7 linked regions of the Nothobranchius furzeri genome follow. The protein of the gene in region 5 purifies or fractionates together with the protein of the main gene of each other region. This does not show direct contact. Links are inferred from orthologs where the notes say so. Each region holds a gene or a part of one and is shown on either strand. Other genes may lie near its edges. The genes, in order: skia, rb1, atxn3, ccnd1, hdac3, wdr5 and runx1.

Evidence for each region.
Region 1: the proteins of hdac3 (region 5) and skia purify together in Homo sapiens (affinity purification with western blotting; 4 studies listed by BioGRID and IntAct, with this or other methods). This does not show direct contact. The link is inferred for Nothobranchius furzeri from reciprocal best matches to the Homo sapiens genes HDAC3 and SKI.
Region 2: the proteins of hdac3 (region 5) and rb1 purify together in Homo sapiens (affinity purification with western blotting; 3 studies listed by BioGRID). This does not show direct contact. The link is inferred for Nothobranchius furzeri from reciprocal best matches to the Homo sapiens genes HDAC3 and RB1.
Region 3: the proteins of hdac3 (region 5) and atxn3 purify together in Homo sapiens (affinity purification with western blotting; 3 studies listed by BioGRID). This does not show direct contact. The link is inferred for Nothobranchius furzeri from reciprocal best matches to the Homo sapiens genes HDAC3 and ATXN3.
Region 4: the proteins of hdac3 (region 5) and ccnd1 purify together in Homo sapiens (affinity purification with western blotting; 5 studies listed by BioGRID and IntAct, with this or other methods). This does not show direct contact. The link is inferred for Nothobranchius furzeri from reciprocal best matches to the Homo sapiens genes HDAC3 and CCND1.
Region 6: the proteins of hdac3 (region 5) and wdr5 purify together in Homo sapiens (affinity purification with western blotting; 3 studies listed by BioGRID). This does not show direct contact. The link is inferred for Nothobranchius furzeri from reciprocal best matches to the Homo sapiens genes HDAC3 and WDR5.
Region 7: the proteins of hdac3 (region 5) and runx1 purify together in Homo sapiens (affinity purification with western blotting; 3 studies listed by BioGRID). This does not show direct contact. The link is inferred for Nothobranchius furzeri from reciprocal best matches to the Homo sapiens genes HDAC3 and RUNX1.

Annotation. Positions count from the first base shown.
Region 1 is NC_091755.1:44,987,622-44,991,553, reverse strand, and holds the start of skia (v-ski avian sarcoma viral oncogene homolog a), read right to left. Parts: upstream 2,801-3,932; 5' UTR 2,423-2,800; coding exon 1,517-2,422; intron 1-1,516. UniProt on the Homo sapiens protein: May play a role in terminal differentiation of skeletal muscle cells but not in the determination of cells to the myogenic lineage. Functions as a repressor of TGF-beta signaling.
Region 2 is NC_091750.1:48,278,848-48,282,347, forward strand, and holds part of rb1 (retinoblastoma-associated protein), read right to left. Parts: intron 2,822-3,500; coding exon 2,711-2,821; intron 2,590-2,710; coding exon 2,453-2,589; intron 2,364-2,452; coding exon 2,286-2,363; intron 1,812-2,285; coding exon 1,702-1,811; intron 1,599-1,701; coding exon 1,521-1,598; intron 1,174-1,520; coding exon 1,086-1,173; intron 988-1,085; coding exon 871-987; intron 791-870; coding exon 734-790; intron 648-733; coding exon 616-647; intron 512-615; coding exon 435-511; intron 336-434; coding exon 115-335; intron 1-114. UniProt on the Homo sapiens protein: Tumor suppressor that is a key regulator of the G1/S transition of the cell cycle. The hypophosphorylated form binds transcription regulators of the E2F family, preventing transcription of E2F-responsive genes.
Region 3 is NC_091758.1:31,656,002-31,659,954, forward strand, and holds atxn3 (ataxin-3), read right to left. Parts: upstream 2,759-3,953; 5' UTR 2,669-2,758; coding exon 2,645-2,668; intron 2,266-2,644; coding exon 2,101-2,265; intron 2,012-2,100; coding exon 1,967-2,011; intron 1,886-1,966; coding exon 1,800-1,885; intron 1,719-1,799; coding exon 1,652-1,718; intron 1,571-1,651; coding exon 1,483-1,570; intron 1,407-1,482; coding exon 1,277-1,406; intron 1,205-1,276; coding exon 1,041-1,204; intron 938-1,040; coding exon 781-937; intron 705-780; coding exon 643-704; intron 568-642; coding exon 515-567; 3' UTR 501-514; downstream 1-500. Other genes in the region: E3 ubiquitin-protein ligase UBR1, read left to right, coding at 2,801-2,845. UniProt on the Homo sapiens protein: Deubiquitinating enzyme involved in protein homeostasis maintenance, transcription, cytoskeleton regulation, myogenesis and degradation of misfolded chaperone substrates.
Region 4 is NC_091749.1:21,584,115-21,587,614, reverse strand, and holds part of ccnd1 (G1/S-specific cyclin-D1), read right to left. Parts: intron 2,332-3,500; coding exon 2,183-2,331; intron 2,104-2,182; coding exon 1,948-2,103; 3' UTR 1-1,947. UniProt on the Homo sapiens protein: Regulatory component of the cyclin D1-CDK4 (DC) complex that phosphorylates and inhibits members of the retinoblastoma (RB) protein family including RB1 and regulates the cell-cycle during G(1)/S transition.
Region 5 is NC_091741.1:31,121,785-31,125,284, reverse strand, and holds part of hdac3 (histone deacetylase 3), read right to left. Parts: coding exon of another isoform or gene 3,459-3,500; intron 770-3,458; coding exon 687-769; intron 592-686; coding exon 449-591; intron 301-448; coding exon 219-300; intron 1-218. UniProt on the Homo sapiens protein: Histone deacetylase that catalyzes the deacetylation of lysine residues on the N-terminal part of the core histones (H2A, H2B, H3 and H4), and some other non-histone substrates.
Region 6 is NC_091746.1:41,695,278-41,699,545, reverse strand, and holds the start of wdr5 (WD repeat-containing protein 5), read right to left. Parts: upstream 2,801-4,268; 5' UTR 2,614-2,800; intron 1,807-2,613; 5' UTR 1,781-1,806; coding exon 1,703-1,780; intron 1,517-1,702; coding exon 1,408-1,516; intron 1,002-1,407; coding exon 928-1,001; intron 377-927; coding exon 287-376; intron 1-286.
Region 7 is NC_091743.1:80,920,869-80,923,652, forward strand, and holds the end of runx1 (runt-related transcription factor 1), read right to left. Parts: intron 1,956-2,784; coding exon 1,809-1,955; intron 1,698-1,808; coding exon 1,150-1,697; 3' UTR 501-1,149; downstream 1-500.

The sequences.
Region 1 (3,932 bases), on a different chromosome or scaffold from region 5:
TCGGGAGCAGGAGCTGCATCCTCCTGCATCGGGAGCAGGAGCTGCATCCTCCTGCATCGGGAGCAGGAGCTGCATCCTCCTGCATCGGGAGCAGGAGCTGCATCCTCCTGCATCGGGAGCAGGAGCTGCATCCTCCTGCATCGGGAGCAGGAGCTGCATCCTCCTGCATCGGGAGCAGGAGCTAACTCACACAACAGGAGCAGCTGCAGAAACGGTGACATTTGCTCTGGAAGTCAGACATGAGCACGTCTCATACTTTCAAAAGAGCGTCTGCAGGGAGGGAAGTGAAGCAATCTCACTTCCTGTCTGTCTGCGTACGAGACTGCTGCTCACACTTCTGCAGCAGCCTCGTTAAGATTCAGAGACACTCGAAGACGCCGTCTATTTCTGAGCCGTCCAACAAGCTCCTCCAGAAAAGTGCTGACAAAGGGTTCGGCTACCACCCAGAAAGCATCTCCTCATTAGAGTGCCTCGGAAAAAAGAGGAGAGGAGTTAAAACCCGGGATCGAGTTTTCCTCCCAGCCGGAGGAGGCCCCTGAAAGCAGAGGTCCTTTGGGTGTGCCCACTCCCGCCTGAATGGAAGTGTGTGCCAGCGGTGGGCATTCACGCAGGACTTTGGCATTGGTCTGGATTACAAGAGGTTGTCCCGATTTTCCCTTTCTTCCCGAGATTCCTCTGAAAGCAGCCTGAGAGGAGGAGGAGTGCTTGTAAACAGTTTGCTGTTGCTTTCTGAGCTCCACCAACAGGGCTGCCTCCAGGAAAGAGCTGCGGTTTCAATCCGATGGTCAGACGGGAGGAAGGGACCGGTGGGGGTGGTGGGTGGTCCCGTGTTAGCTGAATGACCCTTTTGTTGGGATCATATTATGTTTCCACCACAATACTCCTAAACCCCGCTTCATCCGCTCCACCGATGTGTAACAGTTCATGCAAATGGGCTTTTGCTGTGAGGGGTGGGCCTGGCTCCAGAAACTCCTCCTCACACCTCCACGGCTCCAAACACACACACAACAGCCAGTCTGCCAGGAAAAATGAAGGATTCAAGTGTTGGAAGTTTTACGTCTCAGCGGCCGAACCAGGAACACGCCAAGCAGCCGCGTTCAAACACGTTGGTGCAAAAACGTCGGGTCTAAAAACGCAGAAAAAGCTTAAACCGCACAGGAAGTCAGACTGGAGACGGCCACGGGGACCTTTATCACACCACACACACACACACACACACACACACACACACACACACACACACACACACACACACACACACACACACACACACACACACACACTTGTATTTACTGTACAAGCCAATAAAACGACACCAGAGGGTAAATAATGGCTTTATAGCCACCAGAGGCTGGATGAGACTCAATTAGCAGCAATATGGTGATGGAGGGGTTGGGGTGATGATGCGGGCTCACACACACACACACACACACTGGTTAACTGAGTCAGAGCTAACCAGGACCCACACAGAAAAGGGTTCTCCTCCTCCAGAACCAGATGAGGAGGTCGGACTCACCCTGGATGAAGCTTTCCTCTTGTACTTGTTGGTGAAGTCGAACTTCTCCTTGATGTCGTCCAGGAGCTGCTCCAGGCGGACCTTCTCCTCTTTCCCTGTGTAATCCTGACCCAGGAGGATGTACGCCCTCCAGTTGGCAGAGTCGAAGCCCCAGTGGCACGTCCGGTTCTCCTGCGCCTTGTGGCTGTGCACCACGAACTTGTGGGTCGGGTACATGAGTCTGCAGTCCATGCACTGGATGCAGGCTGCGTTGGGGCTGGAGTACAGCTCCGGCACCAGCAAGCCCTTGCACTTGCCGAAGCACTCGTGGTAGACCTTGAAGCTCCTGTCGGTGAGCTGCAGCTCCAAGGACCCGGAGCCTAGCTCCTTCTTGCAGCGCGGCGGGTAGGCGCCTCCGTAGATCAGGGCGTTGCACAGCCGCTCGGCGTCCGTCTTGGTGATGAGGCCGCAGGACGGCGCCGAGAAGGGCAGGATCCCCATGACTTTGAGGATCTCCAGCTGGTCCGCCGTGCATCGGGAGCAGTAGATGTGCAGCTCGTCGCACACGGAGTTGATCTGCTGCAGGGTGAAGTCCCGCAGCACCGTGTTGAGGATCTGCGGCAGGCACAGCCGCTTCTCCCCGCCGACCACGAAGCAGGAGATGGTCTCCGCCTCCAGGACCGTCTCACACCTCTCCGTGGAGCGGTCCGACGGGATGAAGAGCGGACCGGGCATCACGGGCTGCGGCAGATGCTGCAGGACCGGTTCGGGCTCCTTCCCGTCCTTCTTGAAGAGGAGCTCATGTTGCCACCGGGCCGAGAACGCCGCCGGTCCGCCCAGAGAGCTCATGGAGCTGAGGTGGAACTGCTTCAGAGTTTGCTGCAGTCCCGGATGAGGCTGGAAGCTCTGCCGACTTACAGTCTCCATGTTTTTCCTACAACTTTGGAAGCGAAAATCCTTCTTCTGGCTGGCCGGGAGTCGCGAGGGTCGATCCGTTTCTCGAGCTGGTAAATCCGCGGTGTCCCAGAGCTGCGTGGAGCTGCTGAAGCTTCATCCAACATGAATCCGAGCGCAGCGCTCTAGACACCAGTCCTCTCCGCGCCAGCCCTACGGAGCGCACACCGGCCAGAGGGTCGCAGCCCGTCCATGTCCGACAGGAGTCCGAACTCCACAGGGCGCAAAGTTCCGGTGGAAACTTCCAGAAGCGGGACACGAGAGGCAAACCCGCGCGAGCACAGATCCCGAATTCAGGTTGGTTCTGCTGTCGAGGACCGCAGAGATCAGGTCCGCCTGCCCCCGCACTTCCCTCTGACTGGAGATGCTGCTGGCGCGCGCTGCCTCCTCCCCTCTGCCTCGCGCCCTCCCCCCTCCCTCCCCCTGTGTTTGTGTGTCTAGCTCAGTCATTGAATCCCGGCCAGGAATGTGAGTGACTCTGCGGGCAGGCCGACCGGGCTCTTCCAGGAACAAGCCGTCACCCCCTCCAGCGAAACACGCGCGCGCGCACACGCGCGCACCCCACGCGCACACACCCAGGGGCGCCTCCAGAAAATTTAGATAGGGGGGCCAGATGGCCCAAAAAGTTTTGGGGTGGCAAACCAAACTGGTGTTAGTGGAAACTCTGGGAGAGTTCAGCCGGTGGCGACGTGTTACACTTTTATTCATTTTTATTAAAAAGCTCTACGTCTCCAAAACATTTAACTTCAGTTTTACAAACATTTCAGAAAAATACTTTTCAGTTATTCAAAATGTATTTAAAATTTATTGTTTTAGGTTCATTCACCTGTTGCTGTGTTCACAAAAACAACACCTACAGAGGTAAAAACTTTTTATAATGTTGAGCAGCGGAAACATGAATTTCTTTTTTATTCTGATTATTTATTTACTCATTAATTGTATAATTTTTATTTTGTTTTACAATTATGTCTAGAATAAAGATCAATATGTGGTTTGACTGAATATTCAAACCGCAGCAACTTTTCTAGGGGGGGCGCACATGCCGCAGACACACACACACGCACACCCCCACAGACACGCACGCGCGCACACGCACACAGCGTACAAGTGCCAGGGGAACACTAATGCTGCATTCACAGATCTAATGATGGTTTTTTTAATCTAGTTTTTTTAAATGTGTTTCTGACTTTTTAGAAATCAGTTCACCAGCTAGCTCTGTGGACAGGCTAAGCTAAAGGCTAACCCGCGTGCTGCTAAAGTGTAACATGTCTAAAACTGTTTAAATATCAGGAGTTTGTGTTATTTAAGTACAGAAGCCATTACGCTTCCACAAATTCCCACATTATACCATTTATGACATTTTTTACAAACACAGGCCGAGGCCCAGTCCCAGTACTCGCCCTGTGCTCTTCAGCAGAGTGCACGTGGAGGAAGTGTGCTGTAAGGCTGCATGGTGCACAAGTGTGCTAATAACTGCAGAGTA
Region 2 (3,500 bases), on a different chromosome or scaffold from region 5:
TTTATAATTTCAACCATATAAATATTTGTTGCTATCATTTACAAATATAATTCATCTGCGTATGTGTCCAATACTGAGGGGACAGCACTAACAACAACGTGATGTAATACTGACCGTTCTCCATGCAATCCTCTCCATGATGAGGTTCTCACAGGTCTCCAGATGTTTGATGATATCTTTGCTGAGCGTGGGTTCCGCTTTGATGAAGCTCTCGATGACCTTGTAGAAGTCAAAGGCAGGCAGGTTGAACACGTTCAGTATCCAGGGGAAACACACGTCTGTTCCAGCCTGGTCCCCTCCTCCAACGTTGTACCTTCCATTTTTAAAACTGCTTTCTGATCAAAAATAATATTACCAAGACACGCAGACCTTTAGCTGTGACGTACAACAAGTGCTTTAGGAAACTACACGTAGACAAGCATCACTGGAAGCACCTTCATATGTTGCCATGACGACCTCCAAAGCACAAGCCAGCAGGGATGTGTGAAACGTGGAGTCGTTGAGGAGTTTACTAGAAAAGGAAGCTCGTTATAATATAGTAGGCGTAGTTTTCCAAACACAAACGAAGCACACACGTTATTTTACACACAGAAAAATTAGTAAACAAATTATCACCTGAAATTTTGAACAGAAAGCCGCTTCTCTTCCTGTAAAGAAAAAGAAAATCTTAAATGTCAGTGTTTGCATGCAAACCAATGTAGAAAATGAGCTAAATAAAAAAAGGTTCCCGCACCGATTTCAGCATGGCCTCCATGACTTTGTAATAAAGTCGTACACCGAGAGCAAATCTCTAAGGGGTTAAGGAGAATTTGTTAAGAAGCTGCCACAGTGGGAGGACAGGGTGCACAAAACCTCCGTGGTGGCTCGTACCTGCCGACCGTACACAACACCGCGTGGCCCAACAGCCTCACCAAACTTCTGGCTGAACATCTGTCCAAGCGTCTCCAAACGCTTCTGCACATCCTGTGTCGGGTCCACAGAGCAGTTCTGATGACAGGAGAGAAGACGAGAAACAAAACCTTAAACTAATCAAGCTACGAGTGAACAGGACTGTTGAATTAGTACAAATGCTTCAAGAGACCCACTTTGAAATATGTAGCCAGGTTAGTAGAAGGCTGGTCTCCACTGGAGGGGAGGTCTCCTCTCAGCATCCGGATGGATGTCATGGCAGCTCTGAGACGGAGACAGAAACAGGGATGACACCAAACTCCTGAGGAAAAACCCTTTTATCTGGAAAGCTACCACAAAACACTGAATATTCCTGGATAACTTTAGTTAAGAGGTTGATAAAAACTGCAAACATATTAAAGATTACTGTAAACTGATATTTTATGTTACTCTGTTTAAGGACGTTTAAAAACCCTCACTAATAAAACAGGCTCAAGTGCTGATTTCAAACTGGGCTAGATTTATAAAAAAAAAAAAAAAAAAGAGGGGGACATTGTTTTATCTCAAAGTGTGAAATAATCATTTTTCATCCAAGTTTTTTCTTTCCTCTGGAGCAACAGCTGAACGCTCACCTGACGGGAGTCTCCGGAGGGATCAGAATCTCGTCTTCATCTGGCTGGCTCTTCTTTGGTGTTCTCTCTACTTGTGATCTGAATGCAGAAAACCGTTTTTCTTCATTTTATTTAGCATTTCCCTTGTTTATTTTTGAATGTGCAGCAAACGAAAAAATGAACAGTAAGAAAAAGATTTTACATCTCAACTTTAGGAGCAACAAGAGTCTCATCTCCATCCAAAAACAGCCGTCCATCGATGTCTCTGGACTTGAGGTAGTGCTCCTCATACTGCTGGTTGAAGTCAGAAACCTGGCAGGAAAAAAAATAAGGCAGCTAAAAGACTAAACTAAGTTACAATTATGTTTATGGGTTAGGGTACACTCGAGCACAACTGCACTATTTAAACAACATAAAACCAGACCAGCTATTAAGAGTCATGTCAATAATTTTATTTAGAAGTATTTGTGTTAATGTACAAATATGTGTAAACTCTGTCTAAAACGTTTACCATCAGTCTGTTACCGGGGTAACGTCACAGTAACATGAATTTTTACACCAGCCTCTGCCAATAAAGACCCTGAGATACTGCAAAAGATATCTCTGTGTGCGTGTGTGTTTGTGTGTGTGCGTGCATGCGTGTGTGTGAGAGAGCACACACAAGCAGAACACCGAACAGCCCCTGTCTGTTAAACACTGAAAAGCTGGAGGAGAGATAACTGGTGGAAATAAGAGATGCGGTAAAACCCAAGCTAGAGAACATGTTGTCTGATAGCAGCTGCCTACCTGAGGAAAATCTGGAGATCTAGACAGATCCAGGGACTCTAGAAATGCCAAGAAGCTGGTCTGGTAAACATTCTTCACCTGTAGTTGGTAGGGAGAGAAGATTAGGGCACAAGCAGTCGAAAAAGAAACTTCTGTAAAAGGTAAAAGAAAACCAGAGGACTTCAAACCTCTTCTAAACTGCATTCGTTCTCTTTGCACAAAGTTTCAAGAAGCTGAACATCAAGCTCCAGCTCTGCAGGCCTGGATTTGGCTTTGTTCTGGCTCCGACGAGACGCTCGTGTTGGCACTTTGTTAATGGAAGATTCTGAGAGGAGACATTGTATATTGTTAATCGCTGACCAACATTTTTCAATAAAAAATTTCCTTCACCCTTATTAGTTTGATTATAAAAATACCAAAATGCATAAAACAAAGCTCTGGTTTACGGTAAAGAGGCTGCAGAAGGTCTGGAGAGCAGCGCTTGATAAACAGCTCCAGGGTGCAAAGCAGCAACTGGAACGATATGACCAGATCATCCTCCATCTGCAACGTCCTTCCTGCAAAGGCAGAGAGGAAAGCATGAGAATCACAACATAAACACAGGTTCCAGGTAGAAACGACAGCTGTAAACCTGAGAAATACTTTCTAATTAACCCGATTCCTACAGCTGGCCTCACAGAAAAAACAATAAGGAGCAACGTTTCTATTAAGAGCAGGGCCGGGTACCTTTAGATGGTTTTCAAAACCAGAGGCCTCATTTCTCAAGCTTGCTTACGCACAAAACGGGGTCAGAAAACTGCGTAAGCAACTTTCCACGCAAACTTTGGGATTTATGAAAGAAAACTTAGCGGAAAAATGTGCGCAACTTTAAGTTGACTAAGGACCTGGCTTACGCACATGTTGGACACGGAGAGCACCTGCAGTGCTGCTGCTGAGAAGGACTTTCACCCGGGAGATTGGGGATCGAATCCCAATTGGACCATTTTTTTTTATATGCGCCACAGATCTCTCTGAAGAATTCACAACATTGACGGCTTCAGCAACGCTGTGCCACTCCGTGGATTTTTTTCCTATTTGTTTTGCAAAAGCACTTCCTTTCATTTCTCCACTTCACCCACAGGTACATCAATTTCTGCTTCTGTGAAATTGCACTTCCTTGATCTGCCTTGATCTACGGTCGCCATGTCATTGGTGGGGCGCTGCAACAGCCGGCTTGTGTATATGCATGAGATCCAC
Region 3 (3,953 bases), on a different chromosome or scaffold from region 5:
TGTTTTAATTACTTGTGTGTTGCACGAAAAACCGCTACAAAATCAGGAGGCTTTGTTGTTTTCCGTAAAGCTTTAATCTAAACGTTGGTCTCATATTGCTTCTGTTGAACGCCTTTTCGTTTTACCTCTCAGCAAGTAAGGACATAACTTCCACGTGTTTAAGAAAAGAAACACAAAACCAGGATATAAAACTGTACGATAGAAATAGAAGGCGCCATGGTAAAAAGGCAAATTGCAAACTTGGATTAAACTGCATCGTGAGTCTTCTCCGGTCCAGTGGCCGTGCTTTCTAAAAGATTCAGATGAGAAAGTGCTGCCTTTTCTTTGTCGTTCTTCTCTTCCTCAGTCAGTGACTAACGAGGCGGGAAGGGGGCGGGGGAGTAACCACGTGTCAGCCTTCTGACTGCCCTTATGTTTGCATTTGCAAAAGGTTAGAAGAAGGAGCAAAGCCACCCCTGAGAGGGGAGTTGAATCCAGGCTGCAGGTAAACAACACGGACAAAACTTTCACCACTTTATTGGATGGGAGCTTGTTGTTGGTCCTCCTCAGAGCCAGTGTTTACTGATCCTGGTGGAAATAAGAGCCACAGGTTAAACGAGTCATCAAGTCACATGACTTCTGAACTAAGTTAGATTTAATCACCTGGATCAGCCGCTGAATGTTTGTCTGCTTGTTGAGGAATGCTTGGCTGAGCTTGTTGCTGCCTATAAACACAGAAACATCTGTTTTCTAAGTGGGCAGAGCTCGTTTAGGGATTTAAACAGTCGTTGTAGATCTTACCGATCGAAGTAGGCTCGTCTCCTCTTCCTCAGCTCTTCGGCTGTAAGCGTCTCGTTTTGGCCTTCTTTTTGTTCTCCTGTAGTGCTCTCTGCTGCCTGCCCTCCAGATTTTACACCCTCCCCTTCACTGTCTGACATCCTGTTGCTCATCACTGCTCCTGCAGAAAGACAAATGCAAATAGTTAATTTTACAAACTAATGTTTAGAAGTTTAATACAAGTTTCAAACAGTTTTAAAACCTTCACATGGCACACAATTGACCTTGCATGCTGAGCTGTATGGCTCTGCGTAGATCAGCATCTTCATCTTCCACATCCATGTCCTGTCTACTGAGCGCCAGAGCTCTCTTCAGTTCTTCATCTTCACCCACAGACTCATCCTCAACACCAAAAACCACCTCTGTCTGGCTCAGAGCAGCCGACCTTCTGCTTACAGCAAAACGCACGAATCAGACGAGTTAAACAAACCAGAACCCTTGTGAACAAAATGACACACACCCCGCACTCGTCTGCGCTTCCTCCTCTCCGATGAGCCTTGGCCGCTGCTGCTGATGGACCCTCATGATCCCAAGAATCTGCTCTGCCTCACACTCAGGGAGATTCCCTCGGATCACAAATATGGAATACCCTGCAAAAAAAAAAAAGAACTAATTTAATCATCTTTTCTCCAGTTCAACCTCTAAATGTACAGTTTCTGATGCTACCTTCTTGTTGTAGCTGTGCAAGGAAAAGTGCTAAATATGTGTCTGATATCAACTCTGGTCCTGTCAACAGTGAATTCAGGTTAAACCACTGCAAAGGAAACAGAGAATTTTAGTGAATCAAGCTGCTATAAGACAAGTATGACTAGGTAAGTGAGTGAGTGCCACACACCTGTTGTCCAAGTTTGCGTATAGTAAACCAGTGCTCCTTATAATTGCAAATGAAGGCTTTCTCATTTCTGAAACACAAAGTAAGCATCAGCTTAAAGAAATGAGAGATCAGGATCTTCTATCATAATGTTTCCACATTAAAACCTTACACTGGGTTTATCATTAGGCTCTGGTACTCTCGACTATTAAAGAGGAGTAGCTCCAAGCCCCAGACTCGAAGAGCATTGCTAATCACCTTGAAAATATTGAAACAAGAGTGATATTACAGAAGAGGACATGGATTTTAGAAGCAATAAAAAGATAATTGTAAACTCACTTGTATTGAAAAGAACCCACTATCATCCATGTTCCCAGAGGGTTGCTTTAAACACATTTTCGAAAGAAAAACATGAATAAAATTACATTTTTGATAACATTTTGTACCAATATGTACCCTCTGTCTCATAACACCTGTAAAAAGGTCCTGTACTCCTCACTAGCCATTCCCCCCTCTGCCATCCTCATCCTCTCCTCTTCATCAAGCTGATGAGCGATAGAGGACAGGTCCACAGGAGTGAAATACTCGCCCTGCAGAAGGTTGTTGAGGCAGTGCTGGGCACAGAGGGAGCCCTCTTGCTGCAAACAAAGGATCAGGAATGTAACAAGCATCCAGCATCAGCTGGACTTCTGGAATAAAGATGCTCAACCAAAACAAACACATGTAGCAGCTAGCCCAACGAGGACCCAGCCAAGCAGAGAGCGATTAACTAACAAGAAAACAAAACCCCTACATGACGCCAGGAATAGTTATCATGTTAAAAATCTAACTTTTCACATTCTCTGACTAGCAAGTGAATTAGCGTATTAGCAGTTTGTACAACAACTCCATCACAAACGCCTCGATAGCGGCTACTTAACTGGTAAAACTATTCAGCAGATCGAGCACCGACACCGCTTAATCAAAAATCAGTAAATATAATCAGGTAAATTCGTGTTATAAAATGTTTAAACCTACTTTCTCATGAAATATGGAGTCCATATTCAGCTTTCTGTCAAACGTTCAACTCTCTAACCCCCGCCCCTCACTCGCCCTATCGAGAGGAGACGCCCCCTAGCGGGCGGGCGTGCGCGCGGCACAGTGCTGGACGCCTCTACTTACGGCAAATGGAATATGGCGGACAGTGAGAATTCCATGAACAGGCTGGAGCTGAGTCAGGTATGATGTTCTCTCAGCTAATTCCGTTGACAGCGCTTTCTGAGAGTTTGTGGCAAAACGACGGAGTTTAAAATAAAAAAAAAATCATGTGTAATAAGGTTTTACTGCATTATGGTAGAAGGTTGTTCTTGCCAGGCTAATAATAGTCGTAGCCGCCAAGGCTAACTAGCATTAGAGAGGCATCACGCTGTTTATTACGGATAAACCGACTTTATTTTTACTTCTTTTCGGGATAAATTTAGTCTTTTTCCATGAGAAATGATGTAAGTGTTTGTCTTTCCCCTCTGTGCTTACACATGACATTTAAAATGCTTAGCCTGAGGTCCTGAATGCCTTTTCCGTTTATTTACAGTGAAAGTAAACTAGTCTACTGTTACTGTGTTGTTATTCATATTTAGGTTTACCTGTTCAGATATTTTCGCCTCCCAAACACCAACATAATCACGCATTTTTAAACGTCCTAATGTAGTTACAGCCTTTGTGTTTTATTATTGAGAAATCCGTCTAATGTGGTTTTTGTTTTAGTTTCGTATAAAATAAATTATTTCAGTTTTATTTTCAAAACCGAAATATAATTTTTGTATAATTTTACTTGCTTCATCCAATCCATTGTATTATTTTCAAGGTGTTCAGTTGGTACACAAAAACATATTTGTTCTGATGATGCATATTTATGTAAGTGAACCTAAACAGACTCCTGGCGTGGATGTACCATACACTCACCAGTTTGTTTAGCAGGTAAACCAGTTCAGATGCTTATTAACACAAACAGCCAATCAGGTGGTAGCATTTAGACATGTGGACATGATGAAGTTTTGTCTGATTATCTGGGGAAGAAAGGGGATTTCAGTGGTAATGAATGTGGTTTTGTGCTGGTGCCAGGCAGGCTGGTCTGAGTGTTGCAGTTTTCATCATGATATTAGCAAAAGGTTGCATCTCAACTTCAGCTGCAACATTCATAAATGTTAGGTTAGACTTTGATGTTAACAACTTGAAAACATGGATCCATCTTAACGGTTCAGGCTGCTGGTGGTGATGTAATGGTCTGGGCCCGTACCTGATTATTGTTGGCGATAGTGTCCATACTTGTGTTTCCACACTGGACCCA
Region 4 (3,500 bases), on a different chromosome or scaffold from region 5:
AGAATTATACAGTGGCATTTATAACAAATAAATGCAAATAAATTGATGTTCACAAAATGTTGCATAACATTTATTTAGTCATGTCAAGGTGCTGTAGGAGAGTGCACTAGCACCGTGTCCTCAGGGAGATTAGTTATTAGTTATCAGCGTGAGGAACTTATTTCTACCTTATTTATAAACTATTTATTTACAGGTCCATCAGTTAATGTAATAATTGTCTCAACCACAGCTGCACCCCCCAACCCGGTCTCACAGGGGGCAAGCTGCACGTCTGTTTAGCATGCCGCACGCGCACATTTAGCTGTTTTTAGCTGCTCAGAAGTCCACAGGTGCGGTGTGTGTGTCACTCACTCTGGTTAATCCAACAGGGAGCCGGCTCTGAGAGCTGTTTCTTTAGCGACTGACACGTCACTGCATCATTCCCTTTCCTAATGTCCTGAAGAACGGTCCGGAGCGCAGGCGGAGTGTTTAGCTAACCTGCAGGAAATGTCAACGACAGTTATCCAGAAAGAAGCTAAGGGTTACCAGAGATGTTTCTGAGGTGTTCGCTAGGTACTTTTAGGATTTAAAAAGTCAAGAAGGGGGTCTGAAAAGCTGCTAGAAATAGCGTCAAAGTCGCCAAGTTGGCAACACTGTGGGAGGAGCGCTTCATTTGCAACTCAGGGCAGCGCAAGTGGGAGGAGCAAATAATCGGCTTGTTTTGTTTTTATAATCGTTCAAAACTCAGATCGTAATCGTGATTAAAATTTGATTAATTGAGCAGCCCTATTACACACAACAGCTGATCACCTACACAAGACAACAGATGAGGATGTCAATAACAATTTTCTATGAGAAAATTCAAGCCTACAATTGCAGTTTATAGACACGCATACTCCCAAAACAAAATAATCAGATCAGATAGCAGCAAACAGGAAAAAGCGTCGTTTCAATTCTTTTGTCTGCTTTATTTTGTTTCCTTTGACAGAAGCTGTCGTTTCGTTTCTATAGCAGCAGAAAACCCGGAGTGCCTCACTCCTTCCTGTACACCCTCTACCCGCAGCTCCCGCTCACCCCCCTCAGGAGCCCTGACAGCACCGGGACCCCCCACCAGGGAGGGGGGGTGTCGTGAACCTGGACTGGTTCCTATGGAACACGCCCACATGTTCATGTTTGTGCAAAGTCTCGTCTCATCTCTCCTCGAGTCAGCTTTATCGGTTTCCCAGAACCCACCAGCTTGTCTAAAGGGACACCAGGTTCTGGCAGAGCAGGGTGGGGGGGTGGTCCTGATCAGGATCTGGACTGAGGGGCTTCTCTGGAGGAACCTGGAGAGGCTTTAGTTGCTCAGCTGAAACTCGGACGGCTCCGTCGCTCGGAGGCCGTCTGGTTGGCAGTTGTGTGTTGGGAATGTTCTGGATGCATTTAGCTGAGTCAGCGTTGCTGACCAAAGTGCTTTTTTGAGTCGGACCAGCATCAGAGGGTTTAAGCAGCTCATGGCCCCTCTGGCTGGGAACAGAAGACCTACCAGACTAAAGTCTAAATAAAGTGACTAAACACGAGCAAGCCGGAGACGGGACAAAGACGTGGACAGACTAAATCACTTTAGATAGAAAAGACAACATAGTATCTGCTTGAGGATGAGGACCTTCAGGTGCGCTGACTTAAAGATTCCAAGTTTAACATGTGAGGGAAGAGCCCAGCCCTTGCAGGTCATCATGTCCTCCCCAGGACGTCCCTGTAGTCTCAGCTGCAGTCCCCTGGAGGGAAGGAACGCTGTGGTGTGTCCGATCTGATCTGGCAGCAGGCTAGCAGGAGACATTCTTGACCTTCAGCCCACTAGGAAGTTGGAGAAGGATTGAGGAGGGGTATAGGGTGAGACCAAGCAAGTCCCCCTACCCCCATCAGCACCCTCCCACAACTACTTCCTCTTGATCGTCGAGTTCACTGTAGGACAGATGTCCACCATTCTCAGATGTTGATGTCTCTCACGTCTGTGGGCGTGGAGGACGGGTCCACCTCCTCCTCCACATGTTTGTTTTCCGTTGTGCCGCTGTGCTGCTGAGCCTGTCGCAGGCTGGACTCCAGCAGGGACTCGATCTGCTCCTGACACGACCGCAAGCAGTCCTGCAAACAGAGGGTCAGCATCGGGTCAACGTCCTCACGCCAGCCACAACAACCGTCACGTCAACGAATTCAAACGTACCGGGTCGCTGCGGATGACCTGGGACAAGAAGTTGGTGAGGTTCTGAGAGGACAGGGCGGCATCCTGGTTCTTCAGGTAGAGGCCCTGAACGGCTGCCACCACGCTGCCGGCTGCCACCATCGACGGAGGGCTGGCTATGAAGTTCACGTCTGCAGGAGAGCAGAATACAAAGTAAAAGGGCTGTCGCTCAGGCTGAAGACCACATCTGTTTTGTTTCTGTCAGGATGAGCTGAGGTGTGTGTAACGACTCACACCCCACACCTGGTTGGTGTTTAATTAGCACCGAACGCAATAACCAATCTGTGCAATCAGAACAGGGAGCAGAGTAGTGGTGTGTGTGTGTGTGTCAGGGTTCCCACGCGTCCTGGAAAACCTGGAAAATGATAGTCCAATTTTCCAGTCATGGAAAACACATGGAAAATGGGTGGAATTGCAAAATGTCCTGGAAATTTTTGAGTTGTCCTGGAAAAAAATTTTCCCTCCTTGTGGATAAACAAACAGATTAAACATTTTGGGCAATATTGGGCTGTAGCGCTTCTCCTTTAATTTCTGCATCTAGCTGGCACAGCGCCCCACATGACGCTTCCAACCAATCAGATTGCATATTCCCCTTCAGTTGCAGTTCCACTTCTGTTTTTCCAACTGTCTTTTTGGCTAGATTTACAGATTTTTCACCCCTAGATTTATTTCTCTAAAGAAGGGCCAAAAGTAGCGACTCGGTTCACGAGTATTGCTTTATCGCATTTTATGGAGCGAGAGGTTTTTCTCCTTCTCTCTGTTTAATGACAAAGGAGCAGCGGAGAGCTTTTGTTTTTTTCACTCATGCGTTGAGACGAGCGAACATGACGAGAGCTTCGGGATAGCGACGGATAGCAGGTAGTCTACCGGACCCGCGCTCCACTCAGTAATTCATACTAGTTCTATCATCCAACAGCAGAAACAAAAATATGTGAATGATAGAAATGTCATGAATTTGATTCTATCAAAAATACTAAGTATGTGCTCAGAGGACAGAGCCTCAGCTGTTCATACTGTTTTTAGCTAGCTACACAGACCGCAGCCAGGAGGCAGTGAGAACTGAAGACTGGCATTGTCATTTGAACAAAGTTGTTAACGTAATTAAATTGAATTCAACACGGCTAAATTAATAACTAGAATGATTTTAAGTGGTGACTATATATTTATCATAGTAATGCTACGTAAAGTCCAGACTAAAATGGTAGCGAACAACTACAAGTACTTATCTCTGAGGTAGAAAAAAAAATATTTTTCAGGTCCAATATGTCTGTGGTGGTAGCGGGAGATATTAGCCTAGCCA
Region 5 (3,500 bases):
GTAGCATTTGATCAGTCAGTGTTAACTAAAAATATGAGACTCAAGACATCAATTCTGACGATATGATTATCTGACACACACCTGCATCTGGTCAGACTTTCTCACAGGGAAAGGCAAAAGGTGGACCTACAAATTAACTAAGGCAACAAATAAATAAGCACTTTGGAACTAGTCGATAAATTGCTCATTCAGGATATCTGTGTGTTCGTATACATTACCTTATGGTTAAGCTGTGTTGCTCCCTGTAAAGATGCTCCCGTGTATCTTGAACAGAACTCAAACAAACCCGGAAACACGGGACTGAAATGCAAAAAATAAAAAAATTCAGACTTATCAAGGGTGTGAGATTTTAAAGCATAACTAAACTGAGAAGACAGCTGAAAACACTTGAGCATGATTCAAACAATCATTTGAGTGTATCTGCACGATAAAAGTCAGCAGCACTTGCCAGTCATCTCCCACGTTGAATGCGTTGAGACTCTTCGTGAAGCCCTGCATGTTGTTGGGGCTGACCTTTTGCAGGAAGTCGATGTATTCTTCAGAATGGAACCGACACATGTCGTGCTGAGAAGCTTTGTAGGGCTTGAAAACCTAATCAGGTACCAAAATCTTCAGTAAGGTATCATTTTATCACTTCTACGTGGTGAAGAGCACCATTAGACTCTGAATCACCATTTGCTGCTCACCATCATTTTCTTGTAGAGTCCATAGTGCAACACCAAGCTGTGAGTGAGCGACAGACGGTGAGGTTTCATGGGGTGACCGGCACCTAAAGGAGACATGGTTCAACTTTGTTTTTTGTTTTTTTTAAGCCGATCTAAACAATTTTGCATAATTTCAGAACAGAACAACGTGTAGTAAAACAGGCAAAACCTTAGGATGAAACTGTAACTGTGTTATGAGCTGAGATTGTTTCTGATGAGGATCTGGTGAACAGTTCGAGGTTCTACGTAAGATGAATTATTCTCTTCTGCCAGATGTGTTGTATTTGTTTTTCAATTTGTCAGAACTTATAAATGCTGTTTTGTATGTATATAAGTATATACACGCACACACACACACACACACACACACACATATATATATATATGTATATGTGTGTGTATATATATATATATATTTATATACACACACATATACATATATATGTATATGTGTGTATATATATATATATATATATATTTATATACACACACATATACATATATATATATACACATATGTGTGTGTATATATATATATATATTTATATACACACACATATACATATATATGTGTGTGTATATATATATATATATATTTATATACACACACATATACATATATATATATATATATATACACATATGTGTGTGTATATTAGGACTGGGCAATAAATAAAAAATTTATCGAAATTTCTCTTATTGTGATCATTTTTCCCATGTCAATACATTTGAAAATCAAAAATTAAAAGATGTGTGTAGGTTGGCAACGTTAGTGTCCCTTTCACCCTCTCAGGCTCAAAGTAAGTTTTGATAAAAGGACGAACTACTAAGTCCTTCATGGGTACTTCTGATTTAAAAAATGCTCATAAAATATGTATGTGGAGTAACCAGGTTGGTAGGTTTTAACGTTGCAAATCTGCAACGCCTGCCTCCAGAGGGTTAGGAAGCTGTACCACCTTGAGTCACGCAGAAATGTGACACAACGTAACATGTGACAGCCCCATCTAGTGGACAACTTTTGTTTCTGCGCCTACCTGTAGCTATCATCCATTTATTGTTATCAATCCTCAATATATCGTGATATTAATTTCAGGCCATATCGCCCAGCCCTTTCATATATATATATATATATGTATATATAATGTTGCCAACCTGAACCTACACACATCCTTAAATTTTTTTATTATCAAATTTCCTGACATGGGAAAAATGATCACAATAAGAGTCCGACATTTCTATAACGATACATTTTTTATTTATTGCCCAGCCCTAATGGTAAAAATGGCCGGCATTTATAAAGCATTTTCTAGAGTTCTACAACCCCTCAAGAAACTTTACAACTAAACAGTTATTCACTCACATTCTTACACACACACACACGTTTATGAAAATAGGACAAAATTTCGTCCTCCACTGCGCTCACCTGTTATATATAACTCCAGACCAGTTCCCAATAGGGATGGGTGATAGTCTCAAAATTAGTTCACAGTACTCATGCAGAAACAATAGTTGTGATTATAAACATACATGTCTTCTCTGTGAACTACTGTGCACAATAACTGTGTCAATTTATAAGGTATAATGGAATCTAAAACCGGCTGCACAGTGGTTAGAGCTGTTGCCTTGTAGCGAGAAGGGTTCGCTTCCCGGCCTGGGATCTTTCTGCATGGAGTTTGCGTGTTCTCCCTGTGCATGCGTGGGTTCTCTCCGGGTTCTCCGGCTTCCTCCCACAGTCCAAAAACATGACTGTTAAGTTGATTGGTCTGTCTAAATTGCCCCTAGGTGTGTGTGTGTGTGTGTGTGTGTGTGTGTGTGCATGATTGTTTGTCCTGTATGTCTCTGTGTTGCCCTGCGATGGACTGGCTCTCTGTCCAGGGTGTACCCCGGCTGATTGCCCGTTGACCCCCCCCCCCCCCCCCCCCCCCCCCACGCGACCCTGCGTGGACAAAGCGGGTTCAGAAAATGGATGGATGGAATCTAAAACCTACAAGATGCTGACCCTGCAGAAGATCACTAAGATCACTAATGCAAACATTACTTCTGGCATTTATTTCTCCATAAAACTTTAAACCAAGTATAACCACGGCTGAACAATTAAACTGCACTTCTGAACTAGAACTTTAGATACAAATATAAACAATGATCAGTAATAACAAAAAATAAATACATTTTCTCTTGGAATAAACCTAACATGCAAAAGCATCATTCACTTCCATGCGGTGCTCTTCCTACCTGGTATAAGCTTGACTTTAGACCCTTACTTTCTGAACCGTTGACCCTTGAATAGATCTAAAGTGAAGATGATGACTAATGGCGCTTTAACTTTATAATTTAGTTAATAATCTAACCTGAATCAAAACTGCACTACTGATCCCAACTAACGGTAAAGAAGACTCACGAAAAGGCATTATCCAAGTGCTGACCTGTTACTTAGTTTTATTTTTGAACTACGTAATTAAAATAGTTCAGGAATATTTGTTCTGGTGTAAGAAACAATAGCACCTTCCGGTTGAGCCTAAACATATTAATCTGACAGGAATACAGGAAAATTAACGTCAATTTTAAAGTATGAAAGCTGCAGAGAATATTATTTTTAAAAGCACCATTATATTTGCAAAAGCACCCATAAATTGCATCACAGGAAAGTATAAAATATTTTTAAAAAAGCATTTTTTTTTGTGTGAACTATTAGCATGTAACTGGCTAACTAGCTAACGCCTCTACGGATTGATTTACTATGAGGATCAATCTCACCATAATGAAAGTTTCCCACGTCCGGGTCATAAAAATAAGATG
Region 6 (4,268 bases), on a different chromosome or scaffold from region 5:
ACGGTTAGCTTCTACCAGCCGAGATGTTCTATGCTGTTTTCTGGACGCTAAACCAACAATAGCCGTCCTCGTCATGAGCCAAGATGGGTGAGCCCATGAATGTTTAGTGACAGTGTAACGTGGATCTGTCAGGATTTTCTAACCCTAGACTTTCACCATCTATTTTCTAGCTAATCCAGAAGATAGGAGACTTTTGTCATGTTCAGCCTGCATGAAAAACCTCAGAGTAACTAAAATAATCATTAAAAAAGGTTTTTCAATGAACCACACCTTAAAACATTCTTACCGAGTTAACGTCCCAGATCTTCAGAGTTTTGTCATCCGACGCAGAAACAAGAAGGTTGGAGTCAGATGACCAGGCCACATCAGATATTCCCTGGAAAATAAAGAAATTCTAAGATCTCAAGGCTTCAAGGACATAAAATGATACAAGAGTAAACAATGGAGTCATTTCTCATGTTTATCTTCTAAAAATGTAAATACAATCTTGTTCTTGCTTTGAACGACCAAACAGATCAGACTCAAAGTTTTTATTATTCACTGCATGTGAATACCCTCTGCTGCTGCATGGCACTCAAATGGTGTGTTTGGAATAACAGAAGAAAAAAAGAACAGATATAAATATATAAACAGAAGTACATGTTTACTAGATATGTAGCAGCAGTAAATGTATTCACTTTATATTAGACTTATTGCACTGGTGACTGAGGTTTTTGCTCTAATGCGCATGAGAGGGTTTTAGTACATTTAGTTTACTGCTGTGGGGAAGGGGATTGTTTGCACCAACTGGACGGCAAGAGTCCAAAACAGTAATGACCAGGGTGGGAGGAGTCTTTGATGTTTTAGTAAAAGCGGTGAAACTCTACCTAATACAGTCCTGCAGGCAGAAACACAACAGTGCCACAGGTAAGGGTCCCTTCTACTCACAAGTTTGTGTCCAGAAATGGTTTTCTCAAACTTGCCATCATAAGCGCCCCAGATTTTGATGAGTTTATCAGCAGCTGTAACACAAACAATGAAAAAGACATCATGAAAAAGAGAAAAAAAATGACTGAAAAGTTGCAAAATGGTAAAAAATATATAATTTCCCCATTTCAATCATTTCAGCTGATCAGATATTCAAATGAAACGAGTGTACCCAAAGATAAATACTAAAACCAATAAAAATTTCACAATTGCATAAGAATATTTAGTCACTAAAGCACTGCTATTATTGTTATTTACATTTAACTTAGAGCACAAAATACACTTCATCTATGCAGTACAAGTGTTTTATCAAACTTTAAAAAAAGCTCTGGATCAAACATAGTTTCACAAAACCCAATACATTTTATTATGGAATGAAAGAAGATTTATGTTGAGGTAGCTGAGATTTAAACAAGATATGATTCAAAATGAGATGCTTACACGAGCTGGCGAGCCATTCTCCACTTGGACTGAATTTAACCGAGGACACAGCCTTAGTGTGTCCCGCTAGTGTGAATTTCAAACTGTAGTTTGGTTTTGCAGGTGCAGTCTGCAAAAGAAAACCAGTTCTAATTTAGCAAATGAATAAACATGATGAAATACTTTCAATAAAGAAAGAAAAAATCCGAAATAATGCTGGAATATTGACAGTCCTTAACAAAAACTTAGAATTAAACTATCATAAGAGGACAGGGTGGGAGATTACAGGCAATGCCAAAACTTGGGTTTGTCAGACCTTGCTTTGGCTAGCAGAGGCTGATGGGACAACTGGAGGCTTGGTGTCAGTCTCTGGTTTCTTGTCCTCTGTTGCCATGGTGAGGAAATCAGCATCTATTGCACCTGAGACAAAAGAAGAAACCATAAAAAAAGTTAATAAATCAGGCAAGTTAAACCTAAAGATTAAACAACTGGGATAAGTTATTGGGTGGAAATTTTACAATTTCTAACACCCGGAATTTTAAAGTTTGGAGAAATAAGATAAACCCTCCAGCTCGATGACTGCTAATAACCACCATTAAGGTAAACGTGATTAAAAACTATTGTTTTATCTGTTAGCATTAGCTTCCTTTACTGTGATCTAAAATAAACAGTGGGGTTTACTTTAAATAAGATAAATTAAGTATATATCATGTAAATTTTACTTTAATTAGGCTTATTAATAGGCTGTGATGCTCAAAAGTATTTAAATGCCCGTTTAGGGTCCGTTTAGCTATAAAATTAGCTAATGCAGCTAGCTGAAGTTAGCTAACGTTAAATTGCTCTTACTATGAAAACCGATTGAGGCCAACCCCCTTGTCCGGTTACCGTTTACCATCTTGTGTTGCCTTCAAATGCATTGACACCAGCTCGTTTTTGCTTCGAATTATTATTTATGCGAAAAATAAAAGCAAACAAAGGGAGAACGAGTACGTTCGCTGTAAAGTTCAACACCTGAATATACTTGGGTTACCTTCGAACAAAACAACGTGAAGATCTATAGATTAGAGGCTGTCTCGCGGAATAAAATGTATTTTGGCATGAACGCCACAGTTATATGAAGAAGCTAATCGCAGTTTTGACATGCAGTTGATGCTGTTGACAAGTTATGCAGCCACGAAGGGGGCCTCCATTGAAACAATGAAGATTCGGTTTTACACCGATACTTACGTTGATCAATTTAGATCTACAGTCAGACTGGTACTCCTTGCAAATCCTGGAAATCTAAAACAGTCCGTATAATAACTAAAGAGAGATAGAACAAAGAACAAATCAAGCTATTTGCTTGAGGATGTTTGCCTGGTAAAGGAACGAGCTGCGAGGTGAAGCGGGGAATGTGCTTACAGTTTGCGCAGGCGCATGACGTTCAAAAGTGACGGGAACTAATGAGGGACAATTATGAAAAAATCGTTTCGACTGCCGTTTGAAAAGAGCCCAATAGTTTTAATTAATCTTATTTATTACAAGTTTGTATTTTTTAAATTTAAAATGACAAAAATTCTCAACAGAGAATTTGTAGAAGTACATTATGTGAAATACTTCATCTAAATTTCAATGAAAGGCAGTAGCCATTTAAAAACCAGGCTGTGGCTGTCAGAGTCAATCAATATGCAAAAAGGAAAAGTCTACATGAAACAGAAACAAACACACAGCAAACAAAAATCTAAATAAAACAAACAAATTACATATCTTTAATACGTCGTAACCTTATTTTATGCTTTATGTAGTTATGAACTACTGACTGTGATATTTTCATAGTAAATCACTTGCATTTATTTATATAACCCTAACCATTTACTTTTTAGCTCAATACTTTCCACAATTATAAATATGATTTTGTGAAATGCAGATTTCACACTTTTACCATAAATCAGCTGTGAACGCGCTTTGGATTCTCCGGCTCAACAGATGGCGCTATGAGCACCAGACCTGTCCCTTCAGCCGTGGCTGCAATAGGTCGGGGAAGAAGTTTCTAGTTCTTTTTGAACACACTGCACTCTGGTGTTCACTAGTTTGTTTTGGCTTCGGTGAGCTTTCTTCCAAGCCGTGCAGCGTCAAGCTCCCATGTCAACACGCCCTCTTAAATGAGTTGGTAAACACTTCTGTTGTTATTTTCTTATTTTTACTCATTACTTAGCGGTTAGCCTCCTCCATAACAACAATAGGTGTTTAAAGAAGCGGACTTCTTCGCTTCGTTATATGATAATTTAATTCAAGCTTATTTATTGGCGCTACATTTTGCCCCAAATTAAAGCAAACGTTACTTAACCAAAACCTGTAGTTGGTATTTCGAAACTTATATCAACAGTCGGTGTCACAAAGTGTGTTGTCATCCGCTGCAGTGTCCCTTACCAAACCAGCTAGCTAACTTTATGCTAACGAACATCGTGCATACTTGTGTTTTTATTTCACGATAAGTATTTGAAACGTTTTAAAGCCAATCATGTCGCTTTGTCCAAACCTACATTTTAATACATTTTGAGTAAAACCATCTCGCTTATTTAGTCATTTAGTCTCATTCGTACATTACGCCACGTTTTTCACTGTAAACGAAAAGTATTTGACGATATCTTCTGCGTCACCGCTTATGAAAAGCTTTTACAAGTTATTTCGGGAATCTGAAATCATGTTGACAAATGTCTTCTAACTTTAAACTGAGCTTTGTCTCGTGTTCTGTTCTTGTGGCTAACGTGCACGTTGTCACGTCCGCCAGATTTTTTTTCTATAAATATTTTGAACGTGCACGTTGGTTACGAGTCTCCTGGCTTGAAGAAGGCAAAATTTAGAGAGGTCTCTGATTCAACACAGCTGACTGTAATCAGCAG
Region 7 (2,784 bases), on a different chromosome or scaffold from region 5:
TAATGACACAAAAAGCCATCATTTCCTACAAATAACACATCATAGTAACAAAAAAAAAAAAACATCAGTCCAAACCTAATCATAGAAACAAAGTTATGTTACAACCTGAAAACAAATATATTATTCTGACTGTTGTCTCTGAGTTCTGAGAGAAAAGGTGATCAAAGACCTGGTGAGACACTTCTGATGCCATCCCTGATTTCAGGAGTGAGCTGCATCAGTCGTAGCGCTGGTTCTGGTTACATCTTTCCCACTGGACCAGTCTGGGAAAACACGACTTTACAACACTGAACTGTTTCATGAGTCTAATTATCACAGAGCCATAATTAAAATTTAAACCAGTGAAAAGCTGAATTAAACGGCTCCTTGTGTGATGAGTCTATGTATTATATATTCCATTTTATGAATTGGAATTGTTGATATAAAAGTACTTTTCTACAAATTTGATCTCGATAGTGAATCATCTATAAAACTAATTGTCAGAAACATCAGACACAGACTTTTATTCATTTGTGACACGGAGCTCTTTATTCTCCAAAACATGAATCGAAACAGCTCAGTCTGGCTGATGTCACTACAATAAACACACACAGTAGAACATTTGCATTCACAGTCTCATTTCTATATCTTGGAAAACCAATTCAGAATTAGTTTATCCCAGAATGAAAGCGATTTTCCCTGTTGAGCTAAACGAATGCTATAGGAAAAACTCTTAAAATAATGTTCCAGTAACAGTAAATTAGAAATGTCCCCTCTAAAACATATCTTTAGTACAGAAAAGAGTGAGAGAGCTGCCAAAACAAATCAGTGTTCGAGGAAAACAATGGATTCCATTGTACAAAAGTCAAAATGGACGAGTTCCAAATAGTTTGTACCAGTCTTTAACTTTTTTGGTCATTTTTCTTGAATTTGTGCTTCTTTAATGGCTAAACTCAAAACTATTTTTGTTTGTTTGTCATTTATTCCAAGAGTAATCCCAAAAAAGTAATATGAGTGGACATGAAAATGATGCTGTTGGTATTCAGTTGTTCTCCGTTCACTTGGGGGTCTTAAGTTGTTATGAAGTCTCCAATAATGGTTTTATTTTCATCCACCCATTCCAGTATCTGCCATTACATGTCCAGATGGTCTACTGCCACCTCAGAGGCTTCAGTAGGGTCTCCATACAGCTTCAGCGGCAGCCATGTTTGTTGGGGAGCTGCTGTGGCTGGATTCCACCTCTACACTCACCCCTTCATTCTGATTGGGCAGAGACGGGTGCAGAAAGGGGGAGCCTGTAGAGGCATTACTGCATGGAGGCAGGATTCGTGGTGGTGTACGAGATTCGCTGCTGCTGCCTCCTCCGGCCATCATGGAGAACTGGTATGAACCGGCTGCGGTGGAGTAGTACAGGTGATACGGTGACGAGGTGGACTGGAAGGGCCCATTCTGAGCTTGGTGAGGGGTGTTTGCTGGGTAGGGAGGAGGCAAGTATGTGTGGTACCGCCCTGTAGGAGTGGTTGCCATGGCTGTTGCCATGGTGATGCCAAGGGCACCATTAGACACAGGATTATGGGATGGGGTGTAGGAGAAAGCCGCTGCCGTAGGGGGGTAGTGCACCCGAGGATCGGAGAAACGGGAGTCGGGCAAAGAGGGAAGTGAGGTAAAAGATCGCTCCAAAGTCATCCTGGGGTCACTGAAAGCTGTAAGGTCAGGACCTGAGAAAGGGCAAAGGTCAGGGACAACCATTACTCAATTATCTTGTGTGTGTGTGTGTGTGTGTGTGTGTGTGTGTGTGTGTGTGTGTGTGTGTGTCGGGAGGTTGTTACCTGTGAGTCTTGACGACAGGTCACTGAGTGAGGAGCGGCCAGGTGAAAGTGGATTGGCTGTGTGAACAGTGGGCGTGGTTAACTGGCCGAGGTATGGATAGGACTGGTCATAGGACCAAGATGGAGATGACTGCATCTGCCTGGAATCTGGGGGATACAAAAGCAGAGAATAGGCTGTTCATTTAACAGCTTTCTTTTGTGGACTTCTCCGAGTCACTGCAGTAGTCCAGGCCTGGCTTCTCGGGGTTTATAGAACGAAAATAAGATTTAGCGCTGGCAATTTGACCTAACTGATAAAAACTGGTCATAACAAGCTTTAAAATGTAAGACAACAATCAAGAAATTCTCCCAAGATTTATAAAAGTGAGGGAGCAATGAATAGCAAAAATCACGACTTAAAGGTTGAATATGGAACACGGACACTATAGTGACATCTAGTGTTTAGAGGTGGTAGTGCAACAAACCGTCTGGGTGTTGGTTCACTGCTGACATGTGAAGTGACCAGCCAGCACCATGTCCAGTGACGAATAGTGCAGGGTAAGGACTCATTTCTAATAATATGTTTATTTTACAACAGAGTTTACCTTTAAAACATCTTCTGGGTTCAGAATCAGCTGCTTGACTTAACGAGTCCGCCATTTTACACAGCCCAGGCCTTGCCTTGCCAAGCAGACCTTTTACCGTAGCAGTGCCACCTAGTGGCTGGTAGATGTAAACATAAACCCAGTGTTGTGCGCGTCAAAATAAAATTTTGATTCTTTTTTTTTTATACTTATAAAGCTTTTAACCCTCTCTCTCCCTAAACTTGTTAGATGTTAAGAGTGTGGAGTGAATTTACCGTTACCTTAATGAGCCACTGGCAGCAGCTTTAATATTTTCCTTGATTTCTATTCTTTTAAACTTCTTGCACACACGTCACATTGTCAATTATTAAAAAAGTAAGTTCTGATTCACAGGTTAATTCTGAAGTTTTTGG